2 linked regions of the Oryctolagus cuniculus genome follow. The protein of the gene in region 1 purifies or fractionates together with the protein of each later gene. This does not show direct contact. Links are inferred from orthologs where the notes say so. Each region holds a gene or a part of one and is shown in the gene's direction. Other genes may lie near its edges.

Region 1 (10,643 bases):
AGTTTTTTTTTATTTATTGAAAGGCAGAGTTGCACAGAGAGAGGAGAGGCTGAGAGAGAGAGAGAGAGAGAGAGAGAGAAAGAAAGAATTCTCCATCTGCTGGTTCACTCCCCAATTGGCTGCAATGGCTGGAGCTGTGCCGATCTGAAGCCAGGAACCAGGAGCTTCTTCCAGGTCTCCCAAGCAGGTGCAGAGGCCCAGGCACTTGGGCCATCTTCCACTGCTTTCCCAGGCCATAGCAGAGATCTGGATCGGAAGTGGAGCAGCTGTGACGCGAACCAGTGTTCATATGGGATGCCAGCACTGCAGGCGGTGGCTTTACCTGCTACACACAGCATCGGGCCCCTTCCTGCCTCTCTAGAACATGAGCTACTGACCTCAACTACTGAACTTCAAAGTCCAGAGTTTGACCAACACCTGGAGAGCTCAGGCAGTGGCAGGGCTGTGCCCTGTCACTGGCTTCTCCACATGGAAAGAGCTCAGGCTGCACAGGCCAAAACCAGTGCCACCTCCCAGCATGCAGGGACCTCACGTGTCCACTGCGGAGGTCAAGCCAGCCGCCTGAGGCTGCTCATAGAAAGGTATGCTTCAAACTTTAATTACACTCTGCTTTCCACGCAAAGTGAGCAATTGGACTTGAATAATTTTGGAACTCATTCAGTGTGTGGTTAATGTGCCTCGTTTACGGAGTGTATTCCCTGGGAGGTTTGCTCACATTATTCTCCCCCTCCTTAGGCACTGTGAACCTAAGAAAAGTTCAGCGAACTGTGTGATTTGTGAAATCCTACTTTGATCAGCTCCTTACATGCACCACATGCAATAGAATGTTATTTGGAACATACCCCAGAAATAAAATCGACTTCAATTGCTTCACTTAGAGATGCAAAATGGGAAGCTCAAGAAGCTTAATAAACTGTGTTCAAGTCAATTAAATTAAAGCCAGAAAATCATAATTATTTTTTGAGTGCTCACTCTATCTTGGACGTTGTTCTAAAGCACCATACATGATTAACTCAACTAATCCAACAAATTTATGAGAATAGGTTAAATGTTTTCTCACTTAAAAAAAAGAATTTTATTTATTTTACTTATTTGAGACAGTGAAAATGACAGAAAACACCTCATCTGCTGGTTTACTCCTCAAATGCCCAAAACAGCCAGGGCTAGGCCAGGCTGAAGTCAAGAACCCGGAACTCCACCTGGGTCTCCCATTGGGTGGCAGGAACCCAAGTGCTTGGGCCATCACCTGCTACCTCCTAGGTGCATTAGCAGGGATCTGGTACAAGAAGCACAGAGCAGCCAGGACTTGAGCCAGGCACTCCGATATGGAATGCAGGTGTTCCCCGTGGTAGCCTAACCCACTGCATCACAATACCCAGCAACACCTTGACTGCTAGGCCAAACACCCACCTCAGCCCCCTGCCTCCCATTTCTGGGTTGTTTTTCTTGCCAGTGAGAAAACTGATACAGATTATGGGACTTGCCCAGGATCTACAACTTGTCCATGAGGGAGCCAAGATGGGAACTCAGGAAAGCTGACTTCAGAATCTCTGTCTAACTGCTCCACCCTACCACCCATGTGCTGTTACCTGTGGCTGCACAGTTACAGCTAGCTGGAAATCAAGTTAGGCCCCAGGTTCTCTGAGAACCAACTCCAGCTGCTCTCTGGATAGCCAAGACAAAGTGAATTGATTGCTTCTTGCAACCTGGGCCTGCATGAGCCTATTTTGAGCCAGCAAGCACAATTACCTGTGATAATGAGGGCTGGAAGGGCAAGAAAGATCCAGCTGAACACCAAGCCCCTCTCCAGCACAAAACCAAACAAAGCAGGGGCCCTGGGGTACAATATCATAGCACTTTGGCAGCAGATGTGTTTCCTTAATTATGCTGTGCTAAGATTGCATTTGAGTCAGTCACATTTCTCTACACTCCCAAGAACAGCGAGGGACCACGACTGATGGGAACGCCTTGCACAGTCGCCTCTGTGGAAAACGAGCATGGATTGGGAGAACTCTTCTCCCCTGCTTTCTTTCAGTCCTATACCCCAGATCTTGGTCCACGGATCGCTGATTTCCCACGTTAATTACTTTACCCTTGTCCTCAGTGGCCTACCTTGTCTCTCATTGCCATAGAAACCTACTCCTCCTTAAGAATCCTCTTTCTTGCCTGTTTCTTAAGTCCTTGTTCAGTTTCAAGTCAGCTGCTAAATTAAATCCAAGCTCCTTGACCTTGGCTTCCAGGACCTCCTCTAATCTGTTCCTCTTTTATTCTCTGTTTAGCAATAATACATTCTGGGAGCAGAGGTTACAGCAGATCACTGCCAACTCAAACACGAACTGTAAGAAGTAATAAATTTATGTAAAACTTTTGCAGTTGAGTAAAAACACAAAATACACCCACCTCTATCACTTACACCTCCCAGTCACTAGTTTTATAGTATATATGGAACATGAATGGTATTTTATGTTTAATGAAACTGGGGCCCAAAAATATTGCTCATGGTAGTAACACTGCTTATGGGTGGTGAAGCTGCAGTTTAAATCCATACTACAGCTTAGTTCCACCTTAACGGAAGGGAACGTTAGCCTGAATGAATCCATTTTGATCAGTTGGGACTGTTGTGTTTTTCTTTAAGATTTATTTACTTATTTGAAAGCAGGGTTACAGAAAGATAGAAGGCGAGACAGAAAGAGATCTCCCATTCACTGGTTTACTCCCCACATGGCTGCAATGGCTGGAGCTGGGCCAATCCAAAGCCAGGAGCCAGAAGCTTCCTTTGGGTTTCCCACATGACTGCAGGGGCCCAAGGACTTGGGCCACCTTCTGCAGCTTTCCCTGGTACATTAGTAGGGAGCTGGATCAGAAGAGGAGCAGCTGGGTCTCAAACAGGTGCCCATATGGAATGCCAGTGCCACAGCGCCACCCCCTGTTGGGAATATTAAATAAAATGTAGAGTAGGCTATTGCTTTGGATTTAGCTCCTGTACTAGGTTCAAAAAACCAAAATAGAGTTACTCATGCTGAAACTTCACATCATCATTCATTTATCTGAGAGATCAAGAGATAATAGTCAAATCCTCACGCAACGAGGCCGGCCCCGTGGCGCAGTAGGTTAATCCTCCGCCTGCAACGCCAGCTTCCCAAATGGGTGCTGGTTCTAGTCCTGGCTGCTACACTTCTGATCCAGCTCTCTGCTATGGCCTGGGAAAGCAGCAGAAGATGGCCCAAGTGCTTGGGCCCCTGCACCTGCGTAGGAGACCCAGAAGAAGTTCCTGGCTCTTGGCTTCGGATCAGCGCAGCTCCGGCCATTGTGGCCATTTGGGGAGCAAACCAGCAGATGGAAGACCTTTCTCTCTGTCTCTCCCTCTGTCTGTAACTCTGTCTCTCAAATAAATAAATAAAATATTTTTAAAAAATCCTCACACAGCTTTAGCCAGCAGAAAGAAGCACAGGGACGTCCCTCTGTTTAACTTTCACAGGGAGAGTAACTATGATGCAACCAATGCACTTTTTGTTCCCCCTTTCTGCTTTCTTCAGCCCCTTTTTTGTCTAGAAAGCCAGCTTCTTCTGAACTGCTCATCAGAACACTCATTTTACTTTATGGAATGAAGTGTTGCCAGATTTTAGAATCAAAACTAAAAGCTGGGGCTGGCGCTGTGGCATAGCGGGTAAAACCGCCACCTGTAGTGCCGGCATTCCATATAGTCTCCAGTTCGAGTCTGGCTGCTCCACTTCCAATCCAGCTCTCTGCTATGGCCTGAGAAAGCGGTGGAAAATGGCTCAAGTCCTTGGGCCCCTGCATCTGCGTGGAAGACTGGGAAGAAGATCCTAGTTCCTGGCTTTGGATCTGCGCAGCTGCAGCCATTGCGGCCAACTGGGGAGTGAACCAGTGGATGGAAGACCTCTCTTTCTCTGCCTCTGCCTCTCTGTAACTCTGCCTTTTAAATAAATAAAACCTTAAAAAAAAAACTAAAAGCTAATCAAAACTAAAAGCTAATTAAATCTTTTTTTGAAAAAATAATCTATTTTTTATTTGAAAGGCAGAATTACAGAGAGAGATGGAAAGACAGAGAGGGAGGTCTTCCACCTGCTGGTTTACTCCCCAAATGGCCATAACAGCTGGGGCTGGGCCGATCCAAAGCCAGGAGCTTCTTCTAGGTCTCCCACGTAGGTGCAGAGTCCCAAGCACTTGGGCCAAACTCCGCTGCTTTCCCAGGTGCATTAGCAGGGAGCTGGATTGGAAATGGAGCAGCTGGGACTTGAACCGGCATTGCCTGTACTGCAGGTGGCAGCTTAACCCACTATGCCACAGTGCTGAACCCTGATTAGATCTTCAAACTAAATCTGTCACAGTTTTGACTTTTGACAGGTCTTTGTTCAGAAGCTCAGTCCAAATGAATGGCCTCCTATAAATCTTACTGAATATATTAAATCATATATATATAATGTATGTAGGTATATACATATATATTTATACACATAAGGAATATTCTCAAAGTGACTTGCTAAAGAACACAAAAATACAGTGGGTCTTCAAGAGGTTCATGGAAAATGTATATTATTATAAAAAAAACTGTCTAAATTTCAATTTTTTTTGGTGCATAAAATAACTATATTTTAATTCCCTTTTTTTCTACCAACGGTTTGAACTATCCCAGTTAAATCCCCAGGAGTGTTTGGGGAAGAAAGGGTACTGGTTCAAGAACAGTTTTCTGATTGTGAATGTTCTCAGAGCGTCCAAGAACGCTCCGGTCTCACGATTTCCTACCGTTTCAGAAACCCCATTGTCCTCCACTCAACTTGCTTCGGGCAGCCTCTTATACTTAGACACCTCTTCTAGGTGAATGGGTCTGAGCGGGGGAATAAAATAAAGGCGTTTAAAATGCCTCTCCCCCCACCCTCGTTATTTAGCCAAGGAAATGTCCTGTCATGTGACAGTAAACGAGTAATCAAGTTAGCCATTTACTCTTGACTTCAGGGGCCGTCCTGTAAAACCCCACGGGTCAGAAGAGACCCGAATTGTACTCACGTTTAAACAACTACAAGTCCCAGAAGGCTTTTCGGCGGCGGCGCCTGCGCATCGCGGGTTCTGCCCTCTTCGCTCCTGGTTGCCGGGAAAGACCCGCCCCGCGGCGCTGTCGCTCGCGTTAGAAGAAGCGGAAGAAGATGGCGCTCACCAGGTGGGTTGTTGATTTGGGTCCTTGATACGGAAGGGTCTGGTAGTGCCCCTCTTTTTCATGTCTCTGCCCCGTCGTCTCCAGCCAGGGATCTGGCTTAGGACACAGGAAGAAGAGAGCCGAGAGCTTGGCGAGGGCCTCCCGCCGGTCGCCGCGGCGGCTAGGCCTCCCCGACGCTGGGGTCTTTCCTGAGCGGCCTTGGGTTGAATTCGGCCCCTGGGCAAGGCCGAAACCCTCGGCGGGACCGCAGAAGCTGGAGAGCGGCACGTGTTTTCCGCTGAAGCCCCTTGCGGGTGTGTGGAGCGCGCGCCCTGGGGTCGGCGGCTCCGCGGGACGCGATGGCACCGTGGGGAGCGGGGCTTGCCTACGCGGGCGGAGGGAAGCGCGCGGGACGCGACTGCGCGACGCTCCGGCCGTTGTTCGCTTCTGGCTCTCTCCTTTTCTCTATCCACTCTGTCGCCCCGAACAAAGCTTCCCGAAAAGGGGGATCCGGAACTGATCGGGGAGTCTTCAGTTAGCCACAGTGGGGGCCGCTGTGTCCCCATAGGCGCCAGCGCTCCGCACTTTTAACTTTGAACCTTAGAATTTCTTCGGTGAAATCGAACCACCTTGGAGCGCTGCTGTGCCCGGTTGCCTTGGTAACCAAAGGCCAAGCGCTCCCTTCCTTTAGGAGAAAAAGATGCTCTAAGCGGGAGCTTCCGAGAAGTTACATAATTCCCTATGCGTGACCTGGCTGCCCGGTCTAAGTAGGCAAACTTTCCCCGCGAACTCATCTGGAAAAGTCGAGTGTGAAAAAATGGGCTGCAAAGGAAGCTGTCATTTTAGGGCGTGAGCTTGAGCTCCCTGACCATGCTTGGTTCTCCTCAAGCGTCTTCAGCCAGGCCGATGACACTGAATTTAAAAAAAAAAATTTACGCGACCATTCTTTTGGGAATGACGTTGAGTGCCTTGCTGTATTCAGGCGTTACGTATCCAGGAGATCTGTCTTTAGCTGCAACGCAGATGGGGCCCAAGGCATACAACTATCAAAGTGCTCATTTACATAGATGATAGTCTTAGTGCAAAAAGCAATTAGATGAAGAGAACTGCGTGGATCAAAGAGTTTGCTTTAGAAACTGTTACAGGTAGGTGCGAGGCATTGTGACATAGACAAGTAGGGTCAAGAGAAAAAGTTAGAATTTGAAGTGGATATGCAGGGAAAATACCAGGGATGTTGAGGGTATTGTGTGCTTAAAATCGCAATGGCAGAATGCAGTCTTTAAGTGGCCAGTCTTAGCAACTGTGTTGCTTTTCATATGCTATTTGTATACTTTTAATGTCCTCTATAATAAATCGGTAAACGTTTCCCTGAGTTTTGTGAGCTGGCCTAGCCAGTTGAACTCAAGGAGGGAGTTGTGGAACCCCAGTTTATACCTCGTGGGTGAGGAGTATACCCTGAGCACACTTGAAATTGGTATCTGAAGTGTGGCAGTCTTGCAAGACAGCCCTCAGGATCTGTCAGAATTGAATTGAATTGGACATTACCTGAATGTCTGGAAACTCCCCCCACATCTGGTGTCAGAAGTGTTGGGTGTGTTGTATTGGTTGATGAGTGAGAAACTTTTTCCTATACTTTTGCATTCCTATCTGTGCAGAGCTTGCCTTCTGGTTATATGAGTGAAACAAATCAATAATGCCATTTCAGGTACCAGGTACTGGGAAGACAGTAAAGGGTTGGAGGGTGACTCCAAGTTTGGAATCAAGTGGCTTTTTTGGACAAGGTGGTCACAACTTTAGGAAGGTGTAATTAGTTGAGCAAAGAGATGCGCTGCTAAATGCAGGCTGCTAAAAAGTTGGGGAAGAGTTTGCTGTAAAGGAAAATTGCTTTTAGTAAGTAAATAGACTATGTCATGGTAGAAGGAATAGCAAAGGTAAAGCTCCTGCAATGTCTTTTTAGGGAAAGATGACACGACTGTAGGGACATCAGGATGATGAGTGCGAAGTATCGAGTGAGCTATTTTCTATCTTTAAGGAGCCCCTGTTAGCTGGACAGTTACTGGGAAGTTGGGATGAAAGAAGTTAAATCCGTGGGCCCTGCCTCAAAGTTTGTGATGGTGCTGTGTGAGGATAGATGACTGCACTGCAGTGAGGTGGATATTTCTAGTGATGAAACACAGAGATACACAGAAAGTCTTTTTTTTTTGCCAGGCAGAGATAGAGTGAGAGAGAGACAGAGTTATAGACAGTGAGTGAGAGAGAGAGTTATAGACAGTGAGAGAGACAGAGAGAAAGGTCTTCCTTCCATTGGTTCACCCCCAAATGGCTGCTATGGCCGGCGCATCGCGCTGATCCGAAGCCAGGAGCCAGGTGCTTCCTCCTGGTCTCCCATGCGGGTGCAGGGCCCAAGCACTTGCGACATCCTCCACTGCCTTTCCGGGCCACAGCAGAGAACTGGACTGGAAGAGGAGCAACCGGGACAGAATCCGGCTCCCCAGCTGGGACTAGAACCTGGTGTGCTAGCGCCGCAGACGCAGGATTAGCCTAGTGAGCTGTGGTGCCGGCACACAGAAAGTCTTATGGGAACAGAGGTAGAGATAGCTAACCCAGACTGAAGAAATCATGCAACAGACAGGATGCCAGCTGGTTCAGGAATTTTTTCATTTAATACTTATAAGGTTGATAACTTTCATGATCTATCTTTATAGATGAGAGAACAGATTTAGAAAGTTGAGTAACTTACCCAGATTAGTAAGTGGCATAGGTAAGGATTTGAACATTGAGCTCATAGCGATCACACCTGATTCCCCAGATTGCATTAGATCCTCTGATGTGTGCTGTCTCAGTACTGTCTTCTTCCCTCATCACTTAATGTATCACAGTTATGGATTTTTGTGATTATATGATTGTCTTTCTCCCCTGAAAGACTATAAGCTGTTTATGCTCTCATTGCCTGCATAGCGTAGTGCCTGCACCCCAGTGATCAATAAATATTTTTTTAAAGATTTATTTATTTATTTGAAAGAGTTACAGAGAGAGGTCTTCCATCCGCTGGTTCACTCCCCCGTTGGCTGCAGCGGCTGGATCTGTGCCAATCTAAAGCCAGGAACTTCTTCCAGGTCTCCCACGTGGGTGCAGGGGCCCAAGGGCTTTAGCCATCTTCCACTGCCTTCCCAGGCCATAGCAGAGAGCTGGATCGGAAGTGGAGCAGCCAGGACTTGAACCCGTGCCCATGTGGGATGCTGGCACCATAGGTGGCAGCCTTATCTGCTACACCACAGTGCTGGCCCTCAATAAATATTTTTTTTTAAATTTATTTATTCATTTGAAAGACAGAGTGATGTGATCTTCCAACTACTGATACAGTCCTCGAATGTTCCCAACAGCAGTTCAGGGCCAGACCAAAGCCAGGAGGCAAGAACTCCATTCTAGTCTCCCACATGGGTGGCGGCGGTCCAAGCATTTGGGCCATTTTCTGCTGCTTTCCCAGGAGCATTAGCAGGATGTTGGATCAGAAACCCAGTAGTGGGCCGGCACTGTGGCTCACTTGGTTAATCCTCCGCCTGCGGCGCCAGCATCCCATATGGGCACCGGGTTCTAGTCCTGGTTGCTCCTCTTCCAGTCCAGCGCTCTGCTGCGGCCCGGGAAGGCAGTGGAGGATGGCCCAAGTCCTTGGGTCCTGCACCCGCATGGGAGACCAAGAGGAAGCACCTGGCTCCTGGCTTTGGATAGGCACAGCGCTGGCTGTAGCAGCCATTTAGGGAGTGAACCAACGGAAGGAAGACCTTTCTCTCTGTCTCTCTCACTGTCTATAACTCTACCTGTCAAATAAATTAAAAAAAAAAAAAAAAGTAGCTTTGGATCACCAGTCCGGTATGAAATGCCATCATTGTAAAGTGGGGGTTTAACCTGCTACTCTGGCTGGCCCAAGTAAATATTTTTGAATATATATGAAGAAGTGCTACTAAACAAGTATGCTTTCTAGTCAAAAATCAGAAAGGAACCTGAATTATTTCTCCCATTAAATCTATTATTGATCCTCTTGAATGCTTTGTTGGTACTTTGGGGTACAATATAATACAATATTTAAAAGTTGGTAAGAATACCAGCACTTTCACAGTTCCTCCCTAGGAAGTGGGGCCAGGATTTCGTAGCTGGTGCTGGAAGAAAACCCTTAATTGCATCTTTGCCCTGGAATTTACCAGTGGCAGGTGACACTCAAGGGAACAGCATCATTCTGGAATCTTACTCAACATTGTTTTTTCTCCTGTTGCTCTAACTTGAGACCCTCTCCCTTCATTTGCCATAAGAATAAAACACATTTTTTAAAAGTTGGTAAGAATGATATAGTAGAAAGGTTACTCTGATTCTTACACCTCTTCAGTTTTAAATTCCATTGTAAACTAGATACCTTGAGGAAAAGGTACTTAGATATGCAACTTGTGTTTCTTGTATTCGCCTCTTTGTTACCTTCCATTTTAATCCTTGTTCTTTTGTATCCACACTAAAATTGTCAAGGCACTAGTTAGAAATAATTATAAGAAGGTTACTTAGATGCCATGTACTGTACAGTTGTCAGCGGGGTAATTAGAGTGTTTACCTGCTTGTTGTTGGAAATGTGGAGGCAGGAGCTGTGGTACAGTGAGTTAAGCGGCTTTCTGTAATGCTAGCATCCCATATGGGTGCTGGTTCAAGTCCTGGCTACTTCACTTCAGATCTAGCTCCCTGCAGTACACCTGGGACCGCAGTGGAAGAAGGTCCAAGTCCTTGGCCCCCTGCACCCATGTGGGAGACCTGGAAGAAACTCTTTGCTCTTGACTCCTGGCTTTGGATTGGCCCAGCCCCAGCTGTTGTGGCTATTTGGGGAAGGAACCAGTGGATTAAAGATATTTCTCTCTGTCTCTCCTCTCTCTGTAACTCTGCCTTTTTTTCTTTGTCTCTCTTCTTCTCCCTCTCCCTCCCCCTCCCTCCCTCCTTCCTTCCCTCTCCCCCTCACTCTCTCTCTCTCTTTCTTTCAGAAAGCTTTTATTTAATGAATACAAATTTCATAGGAACAGCTTTAGGAATGTAGTGGTTCTTCCCCCCATGCCCACCCTCCTGCCCCCATGCCTGTCTCACCTCCTCACTCTGCCATCCCATTCTTCATTAAGATTCATTTTTAATTTTTTAAAAAGATTTATTTATTTATTTGAAAGTCAGAGTTACGCAGAGAAGGAGAGGCAGACAGAGAGAGGTCTTCCATCCACTGGTTCACTCCCTAATTGATCACAATGGCCGGAGCTGCGCCAATCCAAAGCCAGGAGCCAGGAGCTTCTTCTGGGTCTCCCATGTGGGTGCAGGGGCTCAAGGACTCGTGCCATCTTCTACTGCTTTCCCAGGCCATAGCAGAGAGCTGGATCGAAAGTGGAGTAGCCAGGACTTGAACTGGTGGGCATATAGAATGCTGGCACTGCAGGCGGCGGCTTTACCCAATATACCACAGTGCTGGCCC
Region 2 (10,633 bases), on another chromosome or scaffold:
CACCCACATGGGAGACTTGGACTGTGTTCTTGGCTCCTGTTTTCAGAACCCCAGCTGTTAATAAGTATTTCGGGAGTGAACCAGCAGATGGGAGGTCTCGGTTTCTGCTGGTGAAGCTGCCACCTGAGATGCCAGCATTCCATATGGGTGCCAGTTTGTGTCTTGTTGCTCTACTTCTGATCCAGCTCCCTGCTGAAGGCCTGGTCAAAGCAGCAAAGATGCCCAAGTGCTTGGGCCCTGCCACCCATGTGGGAGACCTAGATGAAGCTCCTGGACTTGGCCTGGCCCAGCTTCAGCCATTGCAGGGACACATTGCAGCCATCTGAGGAGTGAACCAGTGGATGAAAGATTTATCTCTCTTTGTAACTGTTTCAAATAAATAAGTAAATCTTAAAAAAAAAATCCACTGTACTCTATTGTCAAATATAACCACAGTTAACTCAGGAATCTAACAAAACTTGGTGTGTGCATTTGGCCCAGTGGTTAAAATGCCTGTGTCCCACACTGAAGTACCTGAGCTCAATACCTGGCTCTAGCTCCTAATTCCAGCTTCCTGGTAATGAAGACCTTGGGTGGCAGCAGTGATAGCTTAAGCAACTGGGTCTCTGCCACTAACATGGGAGTCCTAGTTTGCAATCCCGATTCCTAGCTTTGGTCCCTACTCAGCCCCAGTCATTGTGTGCATTTGAGGAATTGCCCAGTGATGAAACTGTCTGTCTCTATGCCTCTCAAAGAAAATGAAAAAAAAAAAAAAAAAAAAAAAAAGTTGGCAAGCCTCAAAGCATTTTGCAAGAAATTAGCTCGCTACTGGAAATTTATGATAAAAGATTATAAATTTTATGTTTTATAAATTGTGGTCTACACATCCTTTATATTAGATTTTAAAATGAACGTAGATGCATATATATATATAATTTTTAATGGACAATTAATAAGTTACCAACACATACAAATACCATAGCTGATTTTAAAGATTTACTTATTTGAAAGGCAGAGTTACAGAGAGGGAAGGGGAGAGAGCACAAGAAAGATCTTCATCCATTGGTTTAATTCCTTAAATGGCTACAACAGCCAGGGCTAGGCCAGGCTGAAGCCAGCAATCTAGAACACTGTCCAGGTCTCCCACATAGATGCAAGGGCCTAAGCACTTGGGCCATCTTCTGCTGCTTTCCCAGGCACATTAGCAGGGAGCTGGATTGGAAGCAGAGCAGATGAGACTTTAAATGGTGTCCATATGGAATACCAGCATCACAGGCAGCGGCTTTACTCACTGTGCAACAATGCTGGCCCCACCACAGTGCTGTTGATTTTAAACTATCATGGAATTGAGGAATGTTGCCAATAGCCCCATCCTTTCATATTTTAAATGGAGACTATATGAATGTTGAGTAGAAATGGTAATGTTTGACATGATTAAAAGATGACATATGCATAGTGCAAAATAAGATGAGAGTGACAGGGAGAGAGGGAGAGGTAAAGGAGGGAGAGACAGACACACACAGATCTCCTACCTGCTAGTTCATTCCCCAATGCCTGCAACAACCAGGACGGGGCCTGGCTAAAGTCAAGACCCAGGATCACCATCTGGGTCTCCTGGGAGGCAGGGACCCAAGTACTTGGGCCATCATCTATGGCTTTCTCAGGTGCATGAGCAGGAAGCTGGATTGGAAGGAGAGGAGCCATGACTGGAACAGACATTCCAATATGCACGTGGGCAGCTTAACTCACTGTACCACAATGCCTGTATCCTACTGACATTTTTTTTAAAAAAGGAAAATTCCTGTGACTTAAGATTTGTCAGTGGTTCTTTAAGGGCACTGTATCTGAAGGCTAATGTTATGTTTACAACATAACTTGCATTGAATACCTAATATGTGCTGGATGGTATTCTATCAGAATGCAGAGATATCATTCAACATCACACCAAAAGAAAAGCTGGCATCTTTGAGGACTTTATACTAAATGAAATAAGCCAATCACGGGCGACAAATACTCTATATACACGTATCTGAGGCATCTGAAGTTGTCAGCACCACAGAAACAGGAAGTAGAATGATGGCTGCCAGGGGCTAGAAGGGAAAATGGGAGTTGTTCAATGTGTACAGTTTCAGTAGTGCATGATGAAAACGTTCTTGAGGTCTGCTGTACAACAATGTGAATAAAGTTGATGCCACTAAATTGCACAATTAAAATTGTTAAGATGGTTGGCGGGCGGGGAGTGCGGGAGAGTGGGAAGAATAGTTGGGATGTGAATACAGGCCTGTCTCACAAACTCATATTTAGCATTATGTTATCATTGTTTCCTACTTGAAATAATTACATCTTGAGACAAAAGAATATGTCTTTTCTTTGACAGGCTCCCTGTCCTGTATGGGAGGGTAGCAAGCCATGGGCAGCAGCTGCATTGCCTGGAGCCTGACAGGTACCAGAACTTTTTCCTGGAAGAATGGCATGCTCAGTAGAAATGGCAAATTCAATACGGAGTCATTAATCCAAGAGGTTAAGTGGAGAATCAAACACAGGTCAAAGAAATAGGCAAGAAGAATCCTGGGGAAATAGTTTTGGCTGTTTAAGAAACAATACATGACTCCATGACTGAAAAAATGCTTAGTCTATTAAAAGAAAAAAGTCTGTGATAGAAGAAGTTTAAAATCAAATGCTCTTTTAGCTTATAACCTGAAGTGAATTATTATGGGCAGTATACAGCAGAGCAGGGCCTCAAATGGAACGAAACACTTCTGAGAATGAATTAGAATCAAATGTTAGAAATGATGAAACCCAAAATATAAAAGCAAAACAAAGGATTCTATTCTAAAATTTTATCTAAAGCTGTGCAAACTTAAGGTAAATTGAGTATGGGTCCAGAAAAGCAGGAAGGCAGCTTGTCAGAATGCAAAGAATAATTTGTTTTTAAGATCTACACTTAGAGGACCGCTGCTGTGGTGCAGTGGGTTAAAGCCCCAGCCTGCAGTGCCGACATCCCATAAAGGTGCCGATTCAAGTCCTGGATGCTCTGCTTCTGATCCAGCTCTCTGCTGTGGCCTGGGAAAGCAGTGGAAGATGGCTCAAGTCCTTGGGTCCCTGCACCCACATGGGAGACCTCAGCTCTGGTCATTAATGTCATTTGGGGAATGAGCCAGAGGATGGAGACCCCCTCCTCGGCTCTACCTCTCTGTAACTTTGCCTTTCAAATAAAATAAATTAAAAAAAAAAAAAAAAGCTACACTTAGGGGCTGGCATTTTGGTATGGCAGGTTAGCTGCTGCTTGAGGCTGGCTTTTTTTTTTTTTTTTTTTTTTTTAAAGATTTATTTATTTGAAAGGCAGAGTTACAGAGAGGCAGAGAGAGAAAAGTCTTCCATCCATGGGTTCATTCCCCAAATTGCCACAACAGATGGAGCTGAGCTGATCCGAAGCCAGGAGCCAGGAGCTTCCTCCATGTCTCCCACACGGGTGCAGGGACCCAAGGACTTGGGCCAACTTCTACTGCTTTCACAGGCCATAGCAGAGAGCTGGATCGGAAGTGGTGGAGGAGCCGGGATTCGAACCAGCGCCCATATGGGATGTTGGCACTGCAGGCGGCAGTTTTACCCTCTACATCTCAGCACCAGCCACTGACATTCTGGTTGCTTAGCCTCTGATGCAGCTTCCTCTCTATCACCACCTTTCAAATAAATAAATAAGTAAATAAATCTTTAAAAAAAAGTCTACAAGTATTAGCAGTATAATGTAAGGCAAGCTCCTTGATATTCCACCAGCTTGTTTGTATACTCCAGGGTGTCACGGACGTTTATTTGCTGATGGTCTGAGTATCTTCTAAGGGCCAGGGCTGTACTACTCAGGAGCCGGAGGGACAGAAATGAAAGCACTGTCCCTGCATTTGCTCTCGCCTACTATGCAACGTAATGAGACCTACAGACCATTTCAAGTACGAGTGCAAACTTAAATTCTCATTTACTGGCCGGCGCCGCGGCTCACTAGGCTAATCCTCCGCCTTGCGGCACCAGCACACCGGGTTCTAGTCCCGGTCGGGGAGCCGGATTCTGTCCTGGTTGCCCCTCTTCCAGGCCAGCTCTCTGAGGTGCCCAGGGAGTGCAGTGGAGGATGGCCCAGGTGCTTGGGCCCTGCACCCCATGGGAGACCAGGAAAAGCACCTGGCTCCTGGCTCCTGCCATCGGATCAGCGCGGTGCGCCGGCCGTGGCGGCCATTGGAGGGTGAACCAACGGCAAAGGAAGACCTTTCTCTCTCTCTCTCTCACTGTCCACTCTGCCTGTCAAAAAAAAAAAAAAAAAAATTCTCATTTACTGCCGTTCACAACCTGATACTTAAAACGTAGGTACTAACAATTGCATATTTTAAGAGTCAGAAATGAGGCATCTTGCCCAGCATCAAGACGTCGGAGCCACTTCACCACGAGACAGGAAGGCCCAAGTTTGCGCCCATGGCGGGTGGTGGTGGGAGCCTCCCGCCTCGAGGGGTGCCGCTTGAAACCTTCTGCACACGGGAATTAAATATTACTAAGAATGACGATGACGAAGGCATACGGTACACGGAGACGTCAGCATCGTGCTCGGGACCTGCAAGCACTGAGTGAGTGCTGCTAACTTCACGCTACACCTTCCCGGGGCACCACTGCTCCTGTTCTCACGGGTTTGGGCTACTTATTAGGAGGGGGATGTTCAAACGAGTGGCAGTGCTCGGCACCCACCAGCAATATTAAAAAAAGCCCGCCTCAGGCCGGCCGCGGCTCACTAGGCTAATCCTCCGCCTTGCGGCGCCGGCACCCCGGGTTCTAGTCCTGGTCAGGGTGCTGGATTCTGTCCCTGTTACTCCTCTTCCAGGCCAGCTCTCTGCTGTGGCCCGGGAGTGCAGTGGAGGATGGCCCAAGTGCTTGGGCCCTGCACCCCATGGGAGACCAGAAGTACCTGGCTCCTGCCATCGGATCAGCGCGGTGCGCCGGCCATTGGAGGGTAAACCAACAGCAAAGGAAGACCTTTCTCTCTGTCTCTCTGTCTCACTATCCACTCTGCCTGTCAAAAAAAAAAAAAAAGCCCGCCTCTGCTGGCTTTACATCTCCGCGGTACGATAGCGGCTACGCTCTTCGCTTCTCACCTATTCTACAAAGCTCTGCCACCGTCCCATTTTACGTCGCCACTTCAGCCAGGAGCAAAGTTCTCGTAGGACCCACCAAGCGGCACGTGGCCGTGAGCCGCCACCATAATAGTCCCAGGAACTGCCTCGCAGCACCCCCCTCCCCCCCGCAAACAACCATCGCGAGCTCAGTTCTCGCGGGAAGAGACGCGGTTTTTAAACGTAAACGTATGACTCCGCCCTACTCGGCGCGTGGGGTGGGGGTGGGGTCACGTGACCGGCGCCTGCGCCCTCTCTTCAAGGTCTTTCCTGGCGGTACGCAAGCTGCACAGCCGGCTACGGAGCGTCGCGAGGGCCATTCCGGAAGTGGGCGCTCAGACTTCCGCTTCGTCGGCGGAAGCGTGTCACAAAGCCGGCCGTCGAATCCTAGCGGAAACTCGTCACGTCGCAGTTGCCCCCGCACGGCGGATGTGTGTCGCCGCGTAGGTGACGCTGGGAAGTGCTCGCAGCCTCTGCTGCTGCCTTCTGGTTGTAGCACTATGGAGGGAGAGAGGAAGAACAGCAACAAGCGGTGGTATTTTACTCGAGAACAGCTGGAGAACAGCCCATCCCGCCGGTGTGGCCTGGACCCCGATAAGGAACTTTCTTATCGCCAGCAGGCGGCCAATCTGCTTCAGGACATGGGTCAACGTCTTTTCGTGTATCCTTGCGGCCTAGGCCTTCGGGCCTGGGAGTCGGTGCCGGCCGGGCTCGGGGCGGGGACGGGAGGTGGGCAGGAGCCGGAGCGCTAGGTGAGCGAGCGCGCCGCGGGGCGGGTTGAAAGTCGGGGTTGGCGCCAGGGCAGCGAGGCGGAGTTCGTTTCCCGCTTGCTCACCCTTGCCGGGAATGCAGGCCCTTCCCGGCTTTGTGTTTCCACCGGTTCTCGTGGTCTGCCGGCTGCCTTTGAGCTTGTTCTTTCCCTTACGCCCTCGGGGTCTGGTGGAGGGTTCACTGTTGACGCCTGTCCCCCTTAAACTCGGCGTGTTAGCGATTCAGTACCCGAAAGCCTTGCACAGGTGGCTTAGAATTCGTGTCCAAGCAGTGGTTCCGAATCTGTGACTCCCGCGTGCTGATTTAACTTGGTCAGAGGCTTCCTCCGTCCTGGCCCGCCTCGGTTCCGTGTCCACCACGGTGCTTGGGGGCCAGACGTCGAAGGGGGCGCTGTTAGAAGTTCTGAGGAAGGAAAAGATGGCAGATTAGGTGTGTAGGGGATGCGTAGAGCTGTGGATCTCATGTTTCCCACCGTTTGCGAGATTCTGGGTGCTTAACGCTACGCCGAGTTTGAGTGTGTATTCGTTCCTTTCGTAATTCAAAATTGAGCGAATTCCGTGCTTTGTTTTTCCGCCCGAATGTATTTGCTTGTCGGAAGACGTTTGTTTTGCGTCGGAGGGAAGAATGTCGTTTTCAAGCTGCTTCTGTCGTGGGCTGAAAACTTTTTTCTGAAGTGCAGCTTCCATGTAATTGGTCGTGTTTGTGGGGGTGCGCCCAGTCTGAAATGCAGGGGTTGCCCTCTGTTGCCAGCCTGTTTTCCGTATCAAATTTGTTTCCTAAGCATCTGATCTGTACAGAGCTAAATCATGTTGTCTGAGATCCGGTTTTCAGTGTATCCTTGAAACTTTTTATATGTGTGTTATTCACCTTGTTGCTAAGTGACATTTCTGTATCTCATGTTGTTTGGGACGGCCTTAAGATGTAAGACATGAAAACAGTTTTATTTTCAGCGAATGAATATCAGGCCTTTTGAAAAATGGTAGTCCCAGGGGTTGCTCTGTGACCAGAGAGAGGTGGAACTGTAAACTTAATTGCTGGGGTGTAGAAGCTGAGGGAGATAGTGGTGACATATTCCCCAGGGCTATGGCTGCATCAGGGAGGACCTTGTAAATGATGATTAAAGAGATACCCCGAGCTAATGCATCATCTTTGCAGGGTGTTCAGAAGGTGAGTGAAAGCATTTAAGAGCTCATTACATAGTTTTGTTTATAAGCCATATTGAGCCACACAGCCCGAGAAACTTAGTAATTCGGTGAATTTGTAGTGAGTACTTGTGTAAGTAAATGTGGAAGGCATTGTGGTCAGTGCCAGTTGGCAGTTAATAATTTGGCGGAGGAGAATGGGCTGCTTTCTGATTTGGAGAGGTAAGTAGGTTTTCCTTTAAGGGCATCTATCATGCTTGGTCTTCTGGTCTTTCTGGAAGGGGCCAGATGTTATGTTTTCTGGAAGTATCCTGCTTGTTTTTGCCTTCACTGGAGCACTTCAGCTCGCAACTGACCATCAACACCGCTATAGTATATGTGCATCGATTCTACATGATCCAATCCTTCACTCAGTTTCATCGAAATGTGAGTATGACTTTTCTTATGTGGTGTTCGCTTCGTGAGTCTTCTACATACCTGTTTCTTCAGGTTGGTCTTTGCCACTGAGCTGGGATTTGAACTTGAGAACTCTGCTGCTCACTTTCATTCTGTGTCACACTGTTGCTATGAATACAGCTTTCCCATTTTCCTATGAAATGTAGTTTTCTGCACCCTTACAGTAGGTAGGTTCTCTAGTAATGAAATAGATTATCAAACGTGTAAAGATGTTTTTGTGGGGGATGGCATTAAAGTGGAAATCATATTTCAGTAGAGCGTTCAAAGTGGCAAAATAATGTCACAGGAAAGCAAATGAATATAAGTAATTTAGATTTTCACAAGCCTTTTACAAAACTCCAATCAATGCCCAGAGGATCTGGAATGTACAAAATGTGGTAATGCCTCGAGAAATGAATTTTAAGAACAGAACAAAGAAGATGTTAGCAGTAAAAGACCTTTTTTTCCCTCCTGGACAGATTGTAAATTATGCTACTTTCAGTTTTGCTAACTGAAATGGTCCTATTTAAGATTATTATAAGTAGCTTGGAAGTGAATGCATAGTGGTAGTCCACTAAGGCTGTATTTGTTTTGAAAACATTCCAAGGTAATGGTGATAAGCTTGAGGAACACTTTATATGGTTTGCTCATCAGAGATTTCATTATTTTGTAAAAAGAAAAAGGTTATGCTTTTGAATAAATTTGTTTTAGGCTTTACTTTGGGATGATGGTTTTGAGCTTTTTTTTTTTAAGCTCTTGGAAGAGAGTTTGTGAAGCTAGATATAGCTCCTGTAAAGTAAGAAATGGGCAGAATCCAGGGGCTGATGTTGTGATGTAGCAGGTAAAGCTTCCGCCTGCAGTGCCGGCATCCCATATGGACGCCAGTTCTAGTCCCTTCTGCTCTACTTCCTATCCAGCTCTCTGCTATGGCCTGGGATAGCAGCGGAAGATGACCCAAGTCCTTGGGCCCCTGCACCTGCGTGAGAGACCTGGAGCAAGCTCCTGGCTCCTGGCTTCGGATCAGCCTTGCTCTGGCTGTTGCAGCCATTTGGGGAGTAAACAAGAGGATGGAAGACCTCTCTCTCTGCCTTCCGAATAAATAAATATATAAAAAAAAAAAATTGGTAGAATCCAGATTGGGACACCCTTTGGTGTGATTAGGAATTCTTGACTGTCTCTGATTATTCAGCCAGCTTGACTTTCTTCTGTTTTTGGCCCTGATACCTACTCTGATTGTAAAGAATACACCATTGTTATTGGGAGAGAATCGTTCTGTCTGACAGCACCAGATGGGATATTGTGAAACTGAAGAGGAACTTCATAGCTGCCTTCCTAACTTGAAGATTTTCTATGGCTTTTCCCTTTTATTATGATAAAAATAGACGATTTGGGGATAAATAAATCAGTTTATTTATTTGAAAGGCAGAGTTACAGAGAGGCAGAGGCAAAGAGAAACAGAGATCTTCCATCTCCTGGTTTGCTCTCCAAATGGCTGGAAGAGCCTGAGCTGGGCTGATCTGAAGCCAGGAGGTAGGAGCTGCTTCTGGGTCTTCCACGTGGGTACAGGGTCCCAAGGACTTTGGCCATCCTCTACTGCTTTCTCAGGCCATAGCAGAGAGCTGGATCGGAAGTGGAGAAGCTGGGACTGGAACCAATGTCCATATGGGATGCTGGCACTACAAGCGGTGGCTTTACCCGCTACGCGACAGCATCAACCCCACAAGTGGCATCTTAACCACTGTGCCAAATGCCTGCTCCTTGAATTGTGTCTTTTCTTATTTCCTATATAGTAAGTTCAGCAAGGACAGAGTTTCTATGTATTCTCCAAAGCACCTTCAGTAAACTTGTTAATGAATGATCTGGCAGTTCTCCCATAATGGGTTATCTTTCAGCTGTCATGACTGTTTCCAGAATCCAGTAGTTACTTTGGGGTTGTTGGTCCTCTTTAAAATCCTGATTTTTAAAGAAAAATTTTATAGGTGGGTGTTGGACAGAGTAGTAACATGTTGCTTAGAACACCCATATCCCATATCACAGTGACTGGGATTGAGTCCTAGGTCCACTTGTAGTCCCGGCTTTCTCTTAATGTGATCCCTGGAGGTAGTAGGTAATTGAGTCCCTACTGCCCACGTGGGAGACCCTGTTGTGGGTATTTGGGGAATGAAACTGTGGATGGAATGTTTGTCTCTGTTTCTCTCTGCTTTTCAAATAAATGGAAGGAAATGAAGTTTAAAAAGTGGGGCTGGTGTTATATCCCAGCAGGTTAAGCTGCCACTTAAGGCATTGGCATTCCTTATTGAAGTGCTTGTTGGAGTTCTGATTGCCTTGCCTCCGATCCAGTTCCCTGCTAATATGCCTGGGAAAGCAGCAAACCAAAGTCCTTGGGCCCATGCAGCCCACGTAGGAGACCTGGGTGGAGTTTTGGGTTCTTGGCATCATTCGTCCTGGCCTAGCCCTGGCCTTTGTGGCCCTTTAGGGAGTGAGCTAGTGGATGGAAGATCATGCTGTGTCTTTCTCTGTCTCTCTCTCTCTCTTTCTGTTGCTTTATGTTTTAAATGAATAAATAAATTTTTAAAAGCTGTCAAATTTATTCATTTATTTATTTTTAAGATTAAAAAAAATTTTTTTTTTGAATGGCAGAGTTATAGATTGGGTGGGGTGGCAGTGGTGGAGAGAGATGTTTTCCATCTACTGGTTCACTTTCTAGATGGCTGCCAACGACTGGGGCTGGGTCAGGCCAAAGCCAGGAACCTGGAATTCCAACCAGGTCACCCAAATGGTGGCTGGACCTGAACACTTTGCATGTCTTCTGCTGGTTTCTCAGGTGCATTAGCAGGAGCTGGATCAGAAGTGGAACAGCCCAGACATGAACCAGCTCTTCTTGTGGGATGCTGGCATCACAGGCAGTGGTCTAACTCATTATGCTACAACACTGTCCCTTACCTTCCTTACCTTTCTTATTGTTTTAAAAGGTTTACTTTTTTATTTGAAAGGCAGAGTTACGGAGAGAGAGAGGGAGAGATAGAGAGAGGTCTTCCATTCACAGATTTATTCCCCAAATGGCTGCAATAGCCAAGGCTGGGCCAGGCCAAAGCCAGGAGCCAGGAGCTTCTTCCAGGTTTCCCTGGAAGGGGAAGGGCCCAAGGATTTGCGTCA

The links. The genes of interacting proteins can lie anywhere in the genome.
Region 2: the proteins of SNW1 (region 1) and CCNT1 purify together in Homo sapiens (affinity purification with western blotting; 3 studies listed by BioGRID and IntAct, with this or other methods). This does not show direct contact. The link is inferred for Oryctolagus cuniculus from reciprocal best matches to the Homo sapiens genes SNW1 and CCNT1.

Annotation. Positions count from the first base shown.
Region 1 is NC_091451.1:23,447,713-23,458,355, reverse strand, and holds the start of SNW1 (SNW domain-containing protein 1), read left to right. Parts: upstream 1-5,051; 5' UTR 5,052-5,165; coding exon 5,166-5,179; intron 5,180-9,257; exon of another isoform or gene 9,258-9,384; intron 9,385-10,643. UniProt on the Homo sapiens protein: Involved in pre-mRNA splicing as component of the spliceosome. As a component of the minor spliceosome, involved in the splicing of U12-type introns in pre-mRNAs.
Region 2 is NC_091442.1:52,210,257-52,220,889, reverse strand, and holds the start of CCNT1 (cyclin-T1), read left to right. Parts: upstream 1-5,492; 5' UTR 5,493-5,629; coding exon 5,630-5,790; intron 5,791-7,386; coding exon 7,387-7,468; intron 7,469-10,633. UniProt on the Homo sapiens protein: Regulatory subunit of the cyclin-dependent kinase pair (CDK9/cyclin-T1) complex, also called positive transcription elongation factor B (P-TEFb), which facilitates the transition from abortive to productive elongation by phosphorylating the CTD (C-terminal domain) of the large subunit of RNA polymerase II (RNA Pol II).